Linked DNA regions of Macaca fascicularis. The protein of the gene in region 2 purifies or fractionates together with the protein of the main gene of each other region. This does not show direct contact. Links are inferred from orthologs where the notes say so. Each region holds a gene or a part of one and is shown on either strand. Other genes may lie near its edges.

What was found. Proteins that work in one complex are often made in the same cells at the same time.
Region 1: the proteins of RPTOR (region 2) and MLST8 purify together in Homo sapiens (affinity purification with western blotting; 15 studies listed by BioGRID and IntAct, with this or other methods). This does not show direct contact. The link is inferred for Macaca fascicularis from reciprocal best matches to the Homo sapiens genes RPTOR and MLST8.

The regions. Positions count from the first base shown.
Region 1 is NC_088394.1:2,972,300-2,982,543, reverse strand, and holds MLST8 (target of rapamycin complex subunit LST8), read right to left. Parts: upstream 6,939-10,244; 5' UTR 6,880-6,938; intron 6,542-6,879; exon of another isoform or gene 6,420-6,541; intron 6,363-6,419; exon of another isoform or gene 6,333-6,362; 5' UTR 6,308-6,332; coding exon 6,179-6,307; intron 6,036-6,178; coding exon 5,984-6,035; intron 5,898-5,983; coding exon 5,735-5,897; intron 5,356-5,734; coding exon 5,280-5,355; intron 5,198-5,279; coding exon 5,045-5,197; intron 4,184-5,044; coding exon 4,059-4,183; intron 3,943-4,058; coding exon 3,779-3,942; intron 3,635-3,778; coding exon 3,516-3,634; 3' UTR 3,040-3,515; downstream 1-3,039. Other genes in the region: BRICD5 (BRICHOS domain-containing protein 5), read left to right, coding at 1,574-1,624, 1,757-1,885, 2,115-2,270, 2,350-2,451, 2,695-3,039.
Region 2 is NC_088390.1:87,374,036-87,383,656, forward strand, and holds the end of RPTOR (regulatory-associated protein of mTOR), read left to right. Parts: intron 1-2,169; coding exon 2,170-2,297; intron 2,298-3,456; coding exon 3,457-3,543; intron 3,544-4,505; coding exon 4,506-4,622; intron 4,623-4,952; coding exon 4,953-5,082; intron 5,083-6,378; coding exon 6,379-6,447; 3' UTR 6,448-8,490; downstream 8,491-9,621. UniProt on the Homo sapiens protein: Component of the mechanistic target of rapamycin complex 1 (mTORC1), an evolutionarily conserved central nutrient sensor that stimulates anabolic reactions and macromolecule biosynthesis to promote cellular biomass generation and growth.

The DNA.
Region 1 (10,244 bases), on a different chromosome or scaffold from region 2:
GGCCATACCAGGACACTCACCTTCTGGCTGGCTCCCTACCAGCACCTTGCCCGGCAGCTTCTTTCTTGGCCCCATAGTCACAACACTCCACTTGGTCACAAAGACTTCAGAGCAATAAGGGGCGTCCTGAGCCTTCAGCACCTCCCAGGCCTGGGATGTCAGGTTTAGAGGGTGCTGCGGAGCAGCATGAGGGCGGCTGTGCCCATGAGGCTGGTGGCGCTGACGCTGGCTTGGCTAGGTTGGCTCAAGCCGGGTCTGGCCTGGCAGGGTGCAGTCACACCAAGAGTGCGTGGCAGGTGCAGCCTCGGCGATGCCTCTCTTGCCGGGTGGGGGCTAGGAGTCCCTGTGCGCCCTGTCTCTAGCCCATGAGGGGCTGCGGCACTGTCTGCACCAGAGCACAGATTAAACTCTCAAACCCACACTGGCTCGGGTGTCCTTGCTCTCGCCTTGCATTGGCCCGGGCGATGCCGTCTCGCCGTGGGTGGGAGGATTCAAAGTAGATGGGTAGCTGGGGTTCCAACTCTGGAGCTGGAATGGCAACTGCCCACTCCTGGCCTGGGTCAGAGGAAGATGTTCTGGAGAATGAGGGAAAGCCAGACACAAAGGGAAACCAGGGAAGGAAAAGGCCTCAGAGTGAAGCTGGTGGGCTGCCATGGCAGAGAGCCCAGGGCAGGGGGCAGAGCTCAGAAGTAATTCTGGGCCGGGCGCGGTGGCTCACACCTGTAATCCCAACACTTTAGGAGGCTGAGGCAGGCGGATCACTTGCGGTCAGGAGTTCAAGACCAGCCTGGCCAAAATGGTGGAAACCCATCTCTACTAAAAATACAAAAATTAGCGGGACATGGTGGCATATATCTGTAATCCCAGCTACTCAGGAGGCTGAGGCGTGAGAATTGTGTGAACCCAGGAGACAGAGGTTGCAGTGAGCCGAGATCATGCCACTCCACTCTAGCCTAGGGGACACAGCAAGACTCCCATCTCAAAAAAAAAGGTGCTGGGCGGGCCCCCGAGGCTGGCCTGACTATTCTGGGGGCACAGGCACAGCAGGCTGCCTATCTGTGGTCCAGCCTTCAGGAACCCCCTGGACTTGGGTGTGTGGGGACTGGGAAGTGGCTGGGGGTGCATAGTCCCACACCTGTCATTTACTGAGCAGGCATTTATTGACAGCTTGTGGTGTGTCAGGCCCTGTGCCCAGCTCTGGGAGTCAAGGGTAACCTGAGAGACTCAGGCCACTTTAGGAAAACGAAATCCACCCCAACCACACTTAGTGAGTCGCCCTGGCCAGGCCTGGACTGCCCTCCAGTCGGTCAGCTGGACTGGATTTCTACTCAGCCCAGCCCTATGCCTCCCAGACCCTGATCTCCAGTCTGCACAGGCCAGGTGTCTGGAGCCGGGCCTGGTGACAGGCATCCCCCAGGTGGGAGGAGGGGACTGTCCTGGCTCTGACCTGGATATCAGATCCGGAGCTGAGGGAGAGGCGCGGGGTTAGGAGGGGAGGCGTTCTGAGTTTCCCCGGCCAAGGCTGCAGACAAGGGGCGCAGACAATCGGCACATTGTGAGCAGGGGCTGCAGGATGAAGCCAGCGAACTGCCGCGCTGAGCGCCCCAAACCTGGGCCTACAGGGGTGAGTGCCTCCCATCACTCCTGCAGCAAGGACCCAGGGGGTGCCCCTGGCCACCCAGCCCCTCCCTTCCCCAGCCCACTGGCTCCCTGATCTCTAAACCCCATGACCCTTCTGACCCTAATGCGCCCCCAGGTGAAGACCAAGCCCACCTGTGGGGGCTGGAGAGCCACGGGCCTATCCCTGCTGCTGCTGCTCCTGGCACTGGCCACTGCGGGAGCTGTGGCTGGAGGGCTTCTTGGCTTCGCTCAGGGCCCTCCCAAGGTGAGCCCCTCCTCAGCACCAGGGATGTGGACAGTGAAAAGGGGAAAGGGAAGCTGGCACATCCCAGCCTCCAGCAGAGCCAGGGTGCAGAGCAGGCAGTGACCGCCTAGGAGCAGACGGCCAGAGGTGGAAGGGCCCACTCGGGGATGTCAGGAGTCCTGCAGCCCAGAGCTGGCGGCTGTGCTGGGGTTGTCCAGCTGCCCAGCTGAACTCCAACTCCCACTGCCAGCCAAGGCTGCAGACGCTACGAATGACCCTCCCAAGCCCCCACATGCCCCGGCCCAACCAAACCATCCTGGTGGACGTGGCCCGGAACGCAGCGACCATCACAGTGACCTCACCTCAGAGCAACCACAGCTGGGTGGTGCTGTTCGACGGGCAGAGCGTGAGTGGGCAGGGAGGGGTCACGTCACCCTTGCAGGTGTCGGTCGGGGTGGCCCTGCCTCACCTCCCTGCCTCCCCAGGGCTGCATCTGTTACCGCCCCGAGGAGCACCAGGCCTGCTTCCTCCGCCTGATGGAGGACAGTGATCGGGAGACCCTGCGGCTGCTGATGGATACCTCCAAGGTGAGCCATCCTGCTGGGCACAGCCCCCCACCAGGGGCTAGACAAAGGGTCCTGTGTGCAGCTGGGCACAGGATAGGCTGGAGCTCTGGTTTCAGGGAACAGGAAGCTCTCTCCACCCTGAGCCCAGGCTGCTGACAAGAGCAGAGGGTGGGGACATCACTGGGGGTTGGGGGGTATCCAGCCCCGCCCAGCCAGGAGTAGGGAGCAGCCCTGTCCCACAGCCCACCAGAGCCTTCTCAACAGGTCCAAGAGCCTCGGGGCCCTGCCCAGGACACCCAACACACCCAGGAGCTGCTGGCAGTGCAGGGGAGCCACGAGGTGGACCCTGCCCAGGTGGGGGATTTGGTGCAGCGCCTGTGCACAAGGACCCCCATCTACTGGGCCCGGCGAGCAGAGGGTGAGTCAGGGCCACTGTGGGGGGAGGCCAGGCCCTCGGGATGGTTTGATGAGCTGGGGGCGGAGCCCTTGGGGATTCACGGCACTCTCACCACAGGGCCCCGGAGACAGCGGCTGATTTATCTGTGCATCGACATCTGCTTCCCAAGCAACATCTGTGTGTCAGTCTGCTTTTATTACCTCCCAGACTGAGCCCCGACCTGGCCCAGCCCGGTCCCTGTCCCCAATCCAGCGGGCTGGCCAGGTCACCCGCACCAGGGAGGATAGCTGCCGGCAGGGACTAATAAACCCTTCCACCTGGCCACGGTGGTGTTCTCTGTGGACTAAGGCCCTGAAACGCGGCAGGGAGGGGACAGGAAACACACTAGCTTAGGGGTGGGCACCAGCCTCACACCCCTCAGCAGCTTTGGGCCCTTGGCTGACTCCCAGGCAGTGCAGGCTAGCCTAGTCCAGGAGTGTGCAGCCTGGCTTGGGTCGAGCTGTCACATCTGGATAAGCAACTGGGGGCTGAGAGTCCCAGGGCGGCCTGGCCCAGCAGGTCAAAGTGCCACAGGGGGCCATCAGGTCCAGCTGGTGTAGGCCGGCAGTAGGGCCTGTTCTGACCTGGGTGCTGCATGGGACCCTCCAGCTGCCACCACCTACACCAGGCAGTCCTGAGGGGTCACAGGCTAGCCCAGCACACTGTCGTTGAACGCCAGGCAGACGACAGCCTTCTGGTGGCCGCCATACTCTCTCTTGATCTCTCCAGTCTCCACACACCAGAGCCGGGCCAGGTTGTCCGAGGAAGCTGGAGGGGGAGATTGGGCAGGGCTCAGAGCAGAGGTGCAGGCCAGGCAGGTGGCCCTAGCAGAGGGGGAGCCGCAGCCAAGGTGGGCTGGCTCTGGAGGCCAGCGCTGGGAGGCCAGGGATGGGGAGGCTGGGCGGGGCTCACCAGTGACGATGTACTGGGAGTCCCCCGAGAAAGCACAGCCCCACATCCAACCACGGGAGGACTCCCCGGGGTTGCCGCTCTTGATGCTCAGCTCCGTCATCAGGGAGAAGTTGGACGTCCTCCAGATCTTGCACGTCTGATCAGCCGAGCAGGTGGCGAGGAGCCTGGGGTATGGGCGTGGGGGCGTGTCCAGCAGCAGCCACTCCACCCAGCAGCCCCTCCCGTCTCCAGCCCACAGCCCAGGCAGGTCCCCTCTCGGGCCAGCAGGCCCTGCACGCACGTGGAGTCGGGGCTGAAGCGGCACTGCAGGGCGTAGCGCGTGTGGGCGGGGATCTTGGTCTTGGGGATGAGCTGAGTTACCTCGTCACCAATGCCCCCCGTCAGATTCCAGACATAGCAGTTTCCCTAGAGGTCAGGAGGACCGTCACAGGGGACCCGAGGCCTCAGGTCTGAGACACAGGGAAGGATGCCCTGGGGGCCAACACTGGGGTTCAACTGTGCATGGGGACCCTGGGTCGGGGCGGACAGGCCCCTCTGGTCCTGCCTGCAGAAGGCACCTGGGTAGCCTGGCCCTAACCAAGGGCCACACATGGCAAGCCAAGAACAGGAGGCCACACCTGGCCAAAGACTCAAATTCCCCTTCCTGGAGGATGCCGATGGCCAATGGAAGTACACGGGAGAGGGCACCAGCTAGAGAGACAACATGACAAAGGCCAGGAGAAAGGAAATCCGGGGGCAAGAGGGACAAGTGACACGCTGGGATTAAATGGAGTTAACGGAAAAAAATGAGGTTGGAGAGAAGAACAGGGGCCACACCACGGCAGCCTAAGGGCAAGGCCAGTAGCCCTGGGTCTCCCCAGGGGAATGATGCCACCTGGCTGGTACTGACGAGGCACCACTAGAAGCATCCAAGAGAGAACGGGTCAGGGGCCGGGGGAGGTCAGGGAGGAGGAAAGGAGGCCTCAGAGAGTGTGTCAGCTGTCATGGGAAATGAGGGTGACTGGGACCAGGAGGCAACAGAGAGAAAAGAGGGAAGTGGACCGACTTGGGAGAGACTCCAGAAAGCGGAGCGACCGGCCTGCAGACAGGGCCAAGGCATTGGGAGCGACATTCACGCTTCTGGCTTTGCTGGCAGGGTGGGTGTTAGTGCCTAGGATGGGGAAGCAGGAGGGGGGCACTAAGGGACATCCAGGAATAAGCCCACCTGCAGAGGCTAAGGGCTGAGTGCCAAGCTGGCCCCACCCAGCACCTGCCTCCAGGACTCACAGCGCTATTGACAGCTGCCATGTAGCTGGCGTCGGGGTCAATGTGGGCAGACGTGATGGAGACCTCGGGCTCGGGGATCAGCTGCTCGTTGTGGTCTGTTTTCAAGTCCCAGATGTGGATAGCCCCGCTCTGGTCACCCACGATGAGCTCTGCCTGGGGTGCAGGGGTGGTGAGGCAGGACCCAAGCCCAGCCCTCCAAAGTCCCAGAGTGCCTGGCCCCATGAGCACCCCTCACCTGGTTGGGGTGCAGGCACACGCAGTTAATGGGTGCGTTCACCTGGAAGATCCGCTGGCACTGCAGGTTCCGGGACCTGTGGACCGGGCCAGGGCACATGCTGTCCATCTGGGCTTGTTGGTGCCCTACCCAGATGGCCTTAGCCTGGCCACTCCTCCCCTCCCTCTGCTAAAGGACCTGCCTCTTGGGAAATACTCGAGACGCAGGGCCCTCCACTCCAGCAGGGAGCCTAAGCCAGTGGCTGGTGGAAGGGGAATAACACGCTAGCTCCGGGCTCAAGGCAGGACTCGCGCTTTGATGCAATTCACTCTCCTCCTGTCCTCACTTCTCTCACTGAGTCGCCCACAGGAAGCTCCCTATTTCAGCCTCTGCTTGGAGAGAACCCAACCTAAAATGGTCTCTCAGAGCAGCCCAGCCCAGCCCAGCCCCAGGCAGCAGGCCCCTCCCCACCGCACCTGAGGTCCCAGATCCTGGCTGTGCAGTCCTCGCCGCCCGTGTACATCCAGCGGCCGTCTTCGTGGAAGCCCACAGACGCGATGTTCTTGTTGACGCCATCATAGCTGATGATGGGGTTGGGGTTATTGGAGTTGAGATCATACATGCGGATGTGCTGGTAACCTAGGGACACAGGCTGAAATGAAGCTTGGTTGTGCTCAGGTCGACCCACCAGAGGTCAGGGGTTAGAGATCAAGGGTCACAGATACCTGCAGCAGCAATCATACTGCGGTCTGGTGTGATCTCCAAGGCATTCACCTGCTGGGACTGTTAAGGAGGATGATGGGAAGGCAGCCCTGAGGACAGGGGCCCCCAGGCCTTCACCATCTGGCCTTCACCCAGGCTGTGGTCCCCACATGAGGCATCCCTCCAGCGCCGCCCTGCCCGCCCCAGGTGGAGGATACGGAGTCCTGGTGCTGCACAGTCCGGGTGCAGATGCCGCTGTGGGCCTGCCAGAAGCGCACGGTGTGGTCGTAGCCTGCAGTGGCCAGGATGACCGGGTCACTGCCCACCGTGCCTGGGGACGTGTTCATGGTGTGGCCTGCACGGGCCCTAGAGCTGAATAGCAGGGGTCAAAGGTCAGGGCATCTGCAGAGAAGGATGTAAAGTACTTAGAGGACACACTGTGCTAAACAGATTACAGACCCACGGGGCGCTGCCGAATGGCGCTTATCATTCCCAATTTAGAGTTGGGACAACAAGCGGAGGTAGGTTCAGGGACACGCGTCACACGCGTGACACCCGGCTCCGGGCGGCTCCGGGGCTCCAGGGCGCGTGCTCCATCCCCGCCCCACGCACCCGGCGGGGGCGCCGTCCCCCCCGCAGCCGACAGGGGGCAGTCACGCGCGGGCGCCACTCTGCCGCAGGGGCGGGCTGCGCGTGCGCAAGGCGGCGGGTGGGCCGGGGAAAGCCGAGCCCTGCGGCTGCGCATGCGTAGCAGGCCGGCGGCGGGCCGTGATGGGAAGGGGCGCAGTCTGGCTGGACCCCCGAGCTCCCCTGTCCTCCGCCGACCGCCCTTTCTCCGTCCTGCTGGCCGGCTTCCCCTAGCCGTACTCTCCCAGCCACCCAGCAGCCGGTTCCCGGCCCCTGGCTCGCGGCCTCGTACCTTACGGGCGACTCCGCACTCCGCTGTGTCCAGGACGGCAAGGGGAGCGGGAGCGAGTCGATCGAGGTCGAGCGTAGAGTTATCGATAACTCCCTAGGGCGAGACCATGGCGCGGGCGGGGGTGGATGGGACGAGACCAAAGTTCTGGGGCAGGGGGTTCCCGCCGGGAGGAACCCGGAGAGGTTCCTTGCGTTGCCGCGGGCCCGGCGCGAGGTGGAAGGAAGCTGCGGCTTTCTCTCTGGCCTCCTCCCCACTGGCACCTTCCCTTCTGACACGGCTGTCCGTTTCCCAGGCTGTCGGGTCGCGCCGTTCCCGTGCCCTCCCTGACCCACTAATGCGCCACGCTGGGCTAGAATTGGCTGAAAATTACAGGACTTGAGTTCAGACAACGAATAATTTTTTTTTTTTTAGTGTAAGTATATCCCGGACGTTGCATGGGAAATACTTATGCTAAAAAAAATTTTGCTGGGCATCCTGTAGTTGTACTCACTAGATCTGGTACCCCAGCCCCAGCCTGACCCTTGGGACATCCCACTGAGCCCAGGGTCCCCCTCAAAACCACAGGCCCTCATTCCAGCTCTGTGCGCTCCACGCTGGTGCCCTCACCCTTGAGACTGGCTCTCGCATGGTTTTTTCCCACTGCTCTTACAGATGTGACTGCACCCCTTCCTCTGGCCACAGAGGGGGTGCCTCTTGTCCCTTGACCAGGCCATAGTTCCCAGGAGCCTTCCTTCCTATACCTTCACCTCCTCTCCTTCCTGCCCCTTAGCCTTTAAACACTATAAAACAATCCCAGACTCTCTTCGTTAAAGAGCGGTCCTCACCGTTAGACCACGTCCTCACCTCCCACTCATTCTGCAACCCCAGTCATCTGCCTTTTACCCCAGCTCTCTAGGTCTCCAGTGGAAATTCCTCAAGGCCACTGACAATCTCACTTTGCTAAATCCAGTGGATACTTTTCCTTCCTTCCTCCCACCCGTTTTTTTTGTTTTGTTTTGTTTTGTTTTTTTGAGTCGCAATCTCCCTTTCTCACCCAGGCTGGGGTGCAGTGGTGCAATCTTGACTCACTGCAAAACCTCTACCTCCCAGGTTCAAGGGATTCTCCTGCGTCAGCCTCCTGAGTACCTGGGATGATAGGCGTGCGCCACCACACCTGGCTGATTTTTGTATTTTTAGCAGAGATGGGATTTCACCATGTTGGCAAGGCTGGTCTCAAACTCCTGACCTCAAGTGATCCGCCCACCTCAGCCTCCCAAAGTGCTGGGATTACAGGCATGAGCCACTGCGCCCAGCCTCCCACTTCTTTTTTTTTTTTTTTTTTTTTTTTGAGACAGAGTCTTGCTTTGTTGCCAGCCTGGAGTGCAGTGGTGCCATCTCGACTTTCCACAGTCTCCGCCTCCCAGGTTCAAGCCATTCTCCTGCCTCAGCCTCCCAGGTAGCTCGGATTACAGGTGTGTGTCACCACGCCCAGTTAATTTTTGTATTTTTAGTAGAGACAGGGTTTCACCATGTTGGCCAGGATGGTGGATGGTCTTGATCTCCTGACCTTGTGATCTGCACCCCCCCCAGCCTCCCAAAGTGCTGGGATTACAGGCGTGAGCCACTGTGCCCGGCCCCCTCCCACTTCTTGACGCATCTGTGCCATGGTTGACATCACCATGCCTGAAAGGCTGCCTTCTCCTAGCTCCTTTCTCGGAATTTAGTCTCTTTCCCTGCCTCCCTCCAAAGACTGGGGCTCTCCAGAGTTCACTCTCTGCACCCCACGAGATACTGGGGGGCTGGCGACTACTAGCTCTGGAGCTTCCAATGCTGTCCCTGTGCTGGGCCCCTTCCACTCTGTCTCCAGCTGTAATGGCCTCAGCTCCCTATTAGACACTGTCCTTTGAATGCCCCGCAGGGTCCACCACATTCCATGGCGGAGACAACTCATCCCTGAGTAGCTCCCCTTCTGTGGGCAGTGCTCACCTTGTATTGCCGCTGGGCAAGATCCGACACCTCCCCTTCCTCGCCCTGTCCTGTCTTGCCCTGCCCTGCGCTTCCCTTCCTCCCCCCCCCACCGCCCACCGATTTTACCTGTGACATATCTTCCTGTCCTTTCCCCTGCCCTGGCTCTAGCTCACCAGCCATCCCTCATAACAGCCTCCTTCCTTGCCCTAACCACTCTGGCCCCCTTCCAGACTGTCCTCCACAGTGCAGAATGGCCATTTATTTATTTATTTATTTTTTAGATGGAGTTTCACTCTTGTTGCCCAGGCTGGAGTGCAGTGGCGTGATCTCGTCTCACCGCAACCTCCCCCTCCCGGGTTCCTCAGTCTTCCAAGTAGCTGGGATTACAGGCATGCGCCACCACCCCGGCTAATTTTGTATTTTTAGTAGAGACAAGATTTCTTCATGTTGGTCAGGCTGGTCTTGAACTCCCGACCTCAAGTGATCCACCTGCCTCAGCCTCCCAAAGTGCTAGGTTTACAGGTGTGAGCCACCGCGCCCGGCCAGAATGGCCTTTTAAAAACCTCAGTCTGGGCTAGGTGCATTGGCTCACACCTGTAATCCTAGCACTTTGGGAGGCCAAGACAGGCGGATCACGAGGTCAGGAGATCAAGACCATCCTGGCTAACATGGTGAAACCCCGACTCTACTAAAAATACAAAAAATTAGACAGGCATGGTGGTGGGCACCTGTAGTCCCAGCTACTTGGGAGGCTGAGGCAGGAGAATGGCGTGAACCCGGGAGGCAGAGCTTGCAGTGAGCCGAGATGGTGCCACTGCATTCCAGACCGGGCAACAGAGCCATACTCCATCTCAGAACAAACAAACAAACAAAAACCCCTCAGCACAGTGATTCATGCCTGTAATCCCAGTACTTGAGCCTGAGCCCAGCACAGTGATTCATGCCTGTAATCCCAGTACTTTGGAAGGCTGAGGCAGGAGGATCACTTGAGCCCAGGAGTTCAAGTCCATCCTGGACAATACAGTGAGACCCCATCTCTACAAAAAATTTAAAAATTAGCCAGGAATGGGCTAGGCGTGGTGGCTCAAGCCTGTAATCCCAGCACTTTGGGAGGCCGAGACGGGTGGATCACGAGGTCAAAGGCAGAGCTTGCAGTGAGCTGAGATCCGGCCACTGCACTCCAGCCTGGGCGACAGAGCGAGACTCCGTCTCAAAAAAAAAAAAAAAAAAAAAAGCCAGGAATGGTGGTGCATGCCTGTGGTCCCAGCTACTTGGGAGGCTGAGGTGGAAGGTTCACTCGAGACCAGGAACTGGAGGCTGCAGTGAGCTGTGGTTGCGCCACTGCACTCCAGCCTGGGTGACAGAGCAAGACCTTTTCTCAAAACACAACAAAACAAAAACCCACAGCAAAACCTAGG
Region 2 (9,621 bases):
GCGGAGGCAGGGCCTGGAAGGACAGTGCCGGGCAATGCCGGGAGGAGACATGGGCTGCCTGAGGCCCGTGGATGCGGGTGAACCGCAGCGTTCAGCCCCGCACTAGTGTGGCTCAGCCTGTGCCAGCTCTGAGTGTTTTCAAGTAGGGTCTTCTCTCTGCAAGTTAAGGAATGTCAAAAATCAGTAGGGTGAGCCATTGTAAATTAGAATGATTATTTGTAGGGTTTTTGTTTTTTTTTGTTTTTTTGAGATGGGGTCTCACTCTGTCACCCTGCGTCACCCAGGCTGGAGTGCAGTGGTGCAGTCACAGCTCACTGCAGCCTCAACCTCCTGGTCCACGTGATCCTCCCATCTCACCCCCACAAGTAGCTGGAACTACAGGCATGCGCCCCCACGCCTGGCTAATTGTTTAAACTTTTTGTAGAGACGGGGGTCTCAGTATTTGCCCAGGCTGGTCTCGAATTCCTGGCTCCGGCAATCTTCCTGCCTGGGCCTCCCAAAGCACTGGGATTACAGGTGTGAGCCACTACAGAAGGCTTTTTGCTTCTTTTTTTGAGACGGAGTCTCACTCTGTCGCCCAGGCTGGAGTACAGTGGTGTGATCTCAGCTCACTGCAAGCTCCGCCTCCCGGGTTCATGCCATTCTCCTGCCTCAGCCTCCCAAGTAGCTGGGACTACAGGCGCCCACCAACACGCCCGGCTAATTTTTTTTGTATTTTTAGTAGAGATGGGGTTTCACGTGTTAGCCAGGATGGTTTCGATCTCCTAACCTCGTGATCCACCCACCTCAGCCTCCCAGAGTGCTGGGATTACAGGCGTGAGCCACTGCGCCTGGCCAGAAGCCTCTTTGCCTCTTAAAGCATGTTATTTTCAGTTTTGACAAAAAGCGGAGTACATTGGTTTTGCCCCAAACAGCCTGGAAAAGTGGTAGAGACCTCAGGAGGCCGCGCTCAGCAGAAATCTACCTGCATTGACTTCGTTCGGAGCAGAGGCGAGACCACAGATACTGTGAGGGACAGTGCCTGAGGTGGCTTTAGAGCCAGGATTCCCTTCCCCCGGCTCCCCAGGGAGAGGTGCGGAGCAGAGGCCGTCCCCAGCCTCTCTCCCAGGCCGTCTGGTGTCAGAAGGGGTGGCTCAGCCCTGCCGTAGAGGGTGGTGTGGTGCAGGCCCAGCAGAGGGGAGGCCTGGGCACCCTCAGCTGCTCAAAGCCACTGTGGTTGCTCTGGGCGGCAGCAGCCTGAGAACCTGGCCCAGGCCTCTCCCTGTGGGCAGCGTCTCCTCTGACCTGACCACGGATCCCACAAGGCACCAGCAGCTTTCATTCTTTGGGGTGGAAGGGTCTTGGGCCTGCCTGGAACTGTGGCTCCACACGAGATGTGGCCCTCAGGGCACAGCGTGGACACCCTGATCCCCAGGGTCTGGTCACCAGTTGGGTCTTAGAGGCCCGGGTGGCCTGCGGGGCAGGTGCTGTTCCTGCAGAGGTGCGTGGAGGCACAGAGCGCAGCAGGTGTTCCCAGAGCCACCTCTGCCCCTCGCAGGGGTCCGGCCCCATCGTCCCCACACCTGGGTTTCCTCCTGGAGTACACAACCCAGCACCATCCTTCATGCGTGGAAAGCACTCTCCCTCTCGTGGCCCTTTTCCTCCTGCGTCCCTGGCAGGTGCCATCGCCCCCCACCCCCACTTCTCCAGCACTTATAGTCCCCGAGGGAGCCAGGCGACCCCTCCTGGACTCATCCCCGTAGTTCATTAGAAGTTCTGAGAAGTAGCCAGTGAGGAGTCCTTGCCAAAATGTGCTTTGCTTTCCTTTTTAGGAAGCAGAGAGAGGTTGGAAGTTTAATTGGCACTGACAGCCAGTCCTTCCCAGAGGCGTTTGCAGGCCACCGCTCAGGGTGGGGCTGGGCTCTGCCTCACTGGCTCGGGGCCCAGGCGCCGAGGACTGTCCCTCCAAGGCCAACGGACAAGGGTGTGACTCAGTGCCCTGCCTCTCTCTGGGACTCCTGGGCTCCCCGGGCCTTTGATGCTTCCCTGGATAGAGAGAAAGGCCCCTGCAGCCAGGGAGGGGGATCCCCACAGCCAGGGAGGCAGCAAGAGGGGTCCTGGTGCTGCAGGACAGCAGGGAGGGCAGCTCAGTGCCCAGGTCTTCACCGGGCTGCCTGTGTTTGGCCCTAGGACATCCCCACGGGCGCAGACAGCTGCGTGACGAGCCTGTCCTGTGATTCCCACCGCTCACTCATCGTGGCTGGCCTCGGTGATGGCTCCATCCGTGTCTACGACAGAAGGATGGCACTCAGCGAATGGTACCTTGGCCCTGTCCTCTCCCTCCCCCAGTGGTGGCAGGGTACCTTCCAGGTGGTAGAGGCCGTGTCACTACCAGTTGGTTGGGTCCAGGTTTCTCAGTGAGATGCAAAGCTTCCCCAGGAGCCCACAATGGAGTATTTAGGCCAGTCCTGCTGGGCTCCCCAAAACCGCCAGGCCTGTCCCACCGAGGCCTATCCCACAGAGGTCCATCCCACAGCCTGTGGAGGAGCACGGGGTACTGGCCGTGTGGGATGAGCCAGTGGACTGGAGGCAGAGGCTATCGGGGTGAGGCGGGGGCCCCAGCCAGACACCTGCCACCTCTGAGCTCACCTGAACAGAATACCGCCACTGCCTGCCACCTCCTGGGTCACGCAGCAAGTGTCCAGGGAGGGATGTCTGAGGGCACACGCGTGGGCACAGCAGCCCCGGGCACTGCCTCCGCCGAGCACCCTGTGGGCAGGTGCTGTCCGGGCCTAGCAGGGGACAGTCTGCCTTGGCCCACATGGCTGATGCAGCAGAAGTAAATTTCACCCGGCACAGAGCGAGGATTCCCAGAAGGTCCTTGTGCCCCCAGCTTCATCAGCTTTAGATCTGGGATTCTCATTCCTAACCCTCCAGTCTGCACAGATCAGGCAGGCACAGTGAGGAGTTTTGAGGGAAGTAAAGCAAAGGGTGGGCAGGGCCTGGGAGCGCTGCAATGGCCGCCTGGCCCCCATCTCTGGGCAGCTCCCATGTGGCTCAGACAGTCCTCCAGCGGCCTGACGGTGACCTAGGGCCCAGCCCTGAGCCGGCCTGGGGAGGACACAGGGGGTCTCTGCTGGAGCAGGTCACCTGGAGGGGGCTCTGACCCTGCATGGGCACTAGCTCCTCCTGGGCAGCGGACGGGCGAGGGCCTGCGGACCCACTGGCACAGGCAGACGTGGGCAGTCCCCGGTGCGGACCCGCTGGCACAGGCAGACGTGGGCAGTCCCCGGTGCGGACCCGCTGGCACAGGCAGACCTGGGCAGCCCCCGGTGAGAGCCCGCTGGCACAGGCAGACGTGGGCAGTCCCTGGTGCGGACCCGCTGGCACAGGCAGACCTGGGCAGCCCCCGGTGAGAGCCCCGAAGGGTGGGGACATCCTTCGGGGAAGCCCACGCTGAGCGCCCCTCCCCTGCAGCCGCGTCATGACGTACCGCGAGCACACGGCCTGGGTGGTGAAGGCCTCTCTGCAGAAGCGCCCCGACGGCCACATCGTGAGCGTGAGGTGAGGAGCGCCGATGGTTAGCAGCCGCTCTGCTGTAAAAACATTATTTTCCCCCCTTTTAAAATATGTCCTTGGTATTTAAACAGCGGAAAGGGGATGGCATTTCGGGCGATAATTAACTCCTGCCCTGGAACTGGCCAGAAAGGTCCGGCACAGCCCCCAGGGGCCCGGGCGCGGCTGCTCCCCCTGCTGGGGGACACCTGACCTGCCGGCGCTGTGGGAACTTTCCTGGGCTGCCGCGCGGAGGGTCGGGGGGAGCTGGGCAGCGGCTCTCCCTCCACAGCAGGGGTGGCCGAGCGGCAGGGGCGGCGCATCCGCCAGGCATGTGGCAGTTGTCTGCACGTAAATTCAGTTCTGCGGCTTGGTGAATACAGCACCAAGAGCAGGGAATATTTATTTGCCTATTAAAGGGAGAGCAGAATGTAATTTATGAACACAAAGCCAGCATTTCTTCAAAGAGATGCTCTTTCCCCTCTTGTTTGTGATATAAAAACCAGACATAACTCTTGGGATGGACGCCTGCTAGGGTGGAAGGCAGGAGCCACGGGGCCTCAAAAGGGCCAGGCCATCCCTCAGGCCGCAGCCCGCCATCTAGGCTCTGTCTCCCGGGACTGCAGGCCCCTGTTGCATGAAATCTAATCTCTGGCTGGAAATGAAGCCAGTAGCTCACAGCCTCCTCCTGCGTCTGTGCTCGTGGCCGTTTCTCTAGGCGGGAAAGCTCCGGGCCTTTTCTGGCTCTGAGGGAGCTCGAGGGGCAGCCTTGACCCTGAGACCGGTGCGGGGGCGTGTCTGGGCCCGGCCTGGGCAGCCCTCACAGGGGCGCTGAGCATCCAGGCAGCCTTTTCCTTGAGCAGTGTGTGTGCAAACAGGCGTGCGACCCCCACACCCAGTTCCGCCGTCCCCCGGTTAGGCCCCTCCTGGGGGCTCCGGGTGGAGGTGTCACCGTGACCCTCTCTTGGCAGTGTCAATGGAGACGTGCGCATCTTTGATCCCCGGATGCCCGAGTCGGTGAATGTGCTTCAGATCGTGAAGGGGCTGACAGCCCTGGACATCCACCCCCAGGCGGACCTGATCGCATGGTAGGCGCCGCCTCCCTGGCCTCCGAGCTCCCTGCCTCCGGCCTCTGTGCAAACACGAGGCTCTTGTGTGCCTGCCCCACAGGAGCTGAAGGAGGGCAGGGGAGGATTTCACTGCTGTTGGGACATAAAAACAAAAGATCTCTGCCCACCACATCCTCCTCCCAGGATCAACTCTCAGGGCCCTGCCAGGCCCGAGTCCTCAGTGAGAGTGACCAGAGGGTCACACCTGCCCCGAGCCGGCCTGTCCCTGCAGTCTCAGCCTGTGCACCTGTCTTTCTTCCATCCTCAGAGGAGAGGGCAGTGACACTGGGACCCTTTCTCTCCCCACAGTGGCTCCGTCAATCAGTTCACTGCCATCTACAATGGGGGCGGCGAGCTGATCAACAACATCAAGTACTACGACGGCTTCATGGGTCAGCGGGTCGGCGCCATCAGCTGCCTGGCCTTCCACCCACACTGGGTCAGTGCAGCGGTGGGTGGGGGCTGGGGGCCGGGGGCCGGGGGCCAGGGGCGAGGGATGGGAGGCAAGGGGGCCAGACAGCAGGGGTCCTGCCTGGGCACCCCACACCACAGTGGGGTCCACTGGCCACCTGAAGAAGAGACTTGCCCGGGGCCCAGAATCTCCAGGGCCCCTGACCCACCCTATACTCGCCCTGGAAGCAGAGCTCCAGTCACGTCACTCTGGGAAGAATTGACGGCGCATGCACAGTGGTCGGGCAGAGCTCCTGCCCTCAGACCCTGCACTAAAGCCATCCCTGGGGACCTCCAGGCAGAGTCGCTCAGGGTGTCCATTCCTGTGCAGCCTTCACCCCGTCCCCTGTGCAACCCTCACCCCGTCCCCTCTGCAGGCCTCACCCCGTCCCCTGTGCGACCCTCACCCCGTCCCCTGTGCGACCCTCACCCCGTCCCCTCTGCGACCCTCACCCCGTCCCCTGTGCAACCCTCACCCCGTCCCCTGTGCAACCCTCACCCCGTCCCCTCTGCAGCCCTCACCCCGTCCCCTGTGCGGCCCTCACCCCGTCCCCTGTGCGGCCCTCACCCCGTCCCCTGTGCGACCCTCACCCCGTCCCCTCTGCAGCCCTCACCCCGTCCCCTCTGCGACCCTCACCCCGTCCCCTCTGCGGCCCTCACCCCGTCCCCTCTGCGACCCTCACCCCGTCCCCTCTGCGGCCCTCACCCCGTCCCCTCTGCGGCCCTCACCCCGTCACCTCTGCGGCCCTCACCCCATCCCCTCTGTGACCCTCACCCCGTCCCCTCTGCGACCCTCACCCCGTCCCCTGTGCAGCCCTCACCCCCATCCCCTGTGTGACCAAGTCCTTACCCCGTCCCCTGTGCAGCTGGGCCCCACCTGCACGGCTCTCTGGCCTTGGTTGCAGCCTCCCCACGTGGCTTCAGGCCATTGTCTTTAGATTAGGATCCTGCCCACCTGCCTTCTTGCGTTCATGCCTTCAGGCTTCAGGCATGCAGCTCTGCTAACGTGTGACATTAGATCCCAGAGCTGTCCCTGAGGGGCAGTGCTGAAAAAAACACGCAGGGCCCGGGGGCAGCACCACACCTCTCACGGAGTGCACCATGCATGGGCCCTGCAGAGAGGACTGGTGGGGACCGGCCCAGCATTTCCGGGCCTGAGGTGGGCGCAGGGATTCCTGAGACCCCGGCAGGAGCTGCCTAAGGATGCGGGTTGGCCCGCACGCCGCCCCCCGCCCGCAGTGTCCGCACCTGAACCCCTGCTTACCCTTCTGCTCTCTCCTTGCAGCCTCACCTGGCCGTGGGAAGCAACGACTACTACATCTCCGTGTACTCGGTGGAGAAGCGCGTCAGATAGCGGCGCGACCCGGCCCGCCAGGCCACGGCCGCCTGCTGTACATAGTGAAGCTGCCACTTGCCGGGGCGCGGGGTGTCGGCTGCTGCGGCCCCGCGGTGTGAACGTTGGCTGCTGCCTTAGCTGCTGATGACGGCAGGAGGGCCCTGCTACTCGCTTTTGTCTGTCTTCGCTGTCGTGTCCGGAACGTCAGGGACGGGGAGGGCTTAGGTTGACGGTGGCTTCCCACTGAGCACCAGCATCCAGGTGCACCCCCGCGGCCGCAGCGGTCTGTCCCTCTCCTGTTCTGTGTTTCTCTGAGACGTTGAAAGGGGAAACACCTCATTTTATTTCCATGTAATCAGAGCATTAGCTGCAGCAAAACCCCCAGACAGCCCTGGAGGAGAGGCAGGCGCTGGGGCTCCTGCGGGTCCCTGGAGCAGCCGTCCCCATCAGGCCAAGAGCGAGCGAGAGGTGCTGCCCCAGCCAGGCCCACCGCCTCTCACAGTCAGTGCACGCAAGCAGGGACATTTCCTAGCCGGCTGGGGCACACTGGAAATTCGGGAAACCAAGAGAAAGGAAGAAGGAGACGCCCCTCTAGCTGGTGGTATGAAGAAAGCCGCCCAGGGGGCCGGGCTGTCCTTGGCCGCTGGCCGCATCACTGAACGGGAGGAGCGCAGCGCCTCCTCCACAGCCCACCCTCCCTGCACCTCCAGGTCTCTAGACTCTAGTTTTGGCCCCTCATGCAGAGCTGTCAGCAGGGGCCTCTGTGGCCGCGCACCGAAGAGGCAGGTCCTTGGCAGTGTAGCCCCTGCCTTAGTCCACAGGGCTCCTTTCCCTCCGAAGGGCTGCTCTTCCCCACACGCGCAGGGGCGGCGACCCGGCCTGTGGTCTCCGTGCCTGTGCCCACACACGGGTGTAGCACACGCATGTGCGGGCACCACGGCTGGCACCCTGGGGGCACACATGCAGGCGGCGTGGTCTCCCTGCTCTGTCCGCACACGTTCATCACACACAGGTGAGAGGCACTGCCGGGTCCTAGACGGCTCTGGGTGACACCAGCCCCATCTCCAGCCCTGAGTCGCCCATGCTGATGCGACCTTGGCTTGCAGCTGGGCCTGTGGTGCAGACAGGAGCTGTGTGGACAGTCCCGCCCAGGAGGGGCCTCAGGGCAGTTTTGCAAACAGAACACAACCACAATGATGGTATTTTGAAAAGCATTTTTTCCATGTTCGTCGGGAATCAGGATTATTGAGAGGTGGAGGAGCCAAGTGGCTTCATTGCGGCAGTAAGAGGCCCACAACCACGGGAGTGAGAGCGGGCACGGCGAGGCCCGGCTCCCCTGTGGTGTGACTGGCATCCTGCCGTGGCCAAGAGCATCTTCTGGGTGGATGGAACCCTGCCTAGCTGCGTTTGGTCAGAGAAACACGTGGTCTTCAGGGGGCTGAGCTGGAGTCTGAGCTGGGGCTGGCCGGGACATGACAAGGTGGGACAGAGGCGGCCCCTCCGCTGCTCTTTTTTGAAATGTGAGCTCCCACCAGAAGAAGGTTCCGGCACGAATCCCATCCCCACGTCTGGGCCGAGCGAGCAGACCAGGTCCAGAAGGTGTAGAGGGCCCCAACCCCCACAAGTCCCGGCCTCACTCAGCTCACAGGGCATGCCAGGCGGCAACACCAGAATCTTCCAGAAGCCCAGCTCCACCCGCACACACAGCTTCCCGTCCAGTCCTTCAACTCGATTCTTACCTAACACGCGTTTCTGTTTGTTTTGAGACAAAACCACCACCTGTCAAAAGGCAGGTGGCTCCAGAGGGGACAAGACCCTCCTGCGCCCACTCCGCCCTGGAGCCGCCCCCGCGGGCTCCGCGTGCCACCTGCACGTGGGCTGTCTTCACAGGTCCGATGCGGAAATTCAATCACGACGTCAACCAGGGCTCGAGAGAGCGCCGGCCTAAAGGCTCCTTATCTCTATTTATTTTACCAAATGCGAATTGAGAAAGACTTTGACAAAACACAAAATGGCAATGTGAAGCTAAGAGCAGGACAAACAGTAAACAACACGCGCAGACTCTGGCTGGCGGCTGTGTCTTTACACAAACTGCCCACCCCCACCGCAGGGGTCGTAGGTCAGAGGAGGGGTGGGGGGACCTTGCCCGGGTCCCCCTGCTGTCCCCAGGGCCACCAGCAGCTCTGCGTCCTGGGCACTCTCCAGGCAGGCACCACGGCCATAGGGAGCCTGGCATGTTCAGGGGTGTGCAAAGGTCTCGGTCCTCATCTCCCGGGCAGCAATGCTCCTCCCAGGCAGTGCCCCCAGCCTGTGGCACAGACCCCACGTCGGGGAGCGCGCTCTGTGGTGAGAGCTGTGCTGTGACGTAGGCCGGACACATTTCTTTCTTTTTTTTTTTTTTTTTTTTTTTGAGACAGAGTCTCGCTCTCTCGCCCAGGCTGGAGTGCGGTGGCGCGTTCTCGGCTCACTGCAAGCTCCGCCTCCCGGGTTCACGCCATTCTCCTGCTTCAGCCTGGCAAGCAGCTGGGACTACGGGTGCCCGCCACCACGCCCAGCTAATTTTTTGTATTTTTTTTTTTAGTAGAGACAGGGTTTCACCGTGTTAGCCAGGATGGTCTCGATCTCCTGACCTCGTGATCCGCCCGCCTCGGCCTCCCAAAGTGCTGGGATTACAGGCATGAGCCACCACACCCGGCCCACATTTCTTTTTCTTTAAAATGACGGTTACCCTCTCACAGTCAGAGGCCCCTTTCAAGTCTGCGTTGAAATCTGGGCCACGTCAGAGTTGCTGGGGGAGAAGCCACTTGCCCACCTCTGGAGGCCTCCGCTCTCCTTGACTCGTGGCCCCTTCCACTTCAGGGCCTCTGAGCCACGCCCACCACCACTTCTCCTCCTGATGCCGGAAGTGTTTCCAGGCCTGGGGGCCCTGCCCGCCTCGGGTTGTGCGGGTCCTTAGTCCTAATCACATCTGCACATCCCTCTGGTCAACTCTTTCTGGGTTTTTTGTTTTGAGACGGAGTCTCGGTCACCCTGGCTGGAGTGCAGTGGCGCGATCTTGGCTCACCTCAACCTCTGCCTCCCGGGTTCCAGCAGTTCTCCTGCCTTAGCCTCTCGAGTAATGAGTAATTAGCCACCACACCTGGCTAATTTTTATATTTTTAGTAGAGACGGGGTTTCGCCATGTTGGCCAGC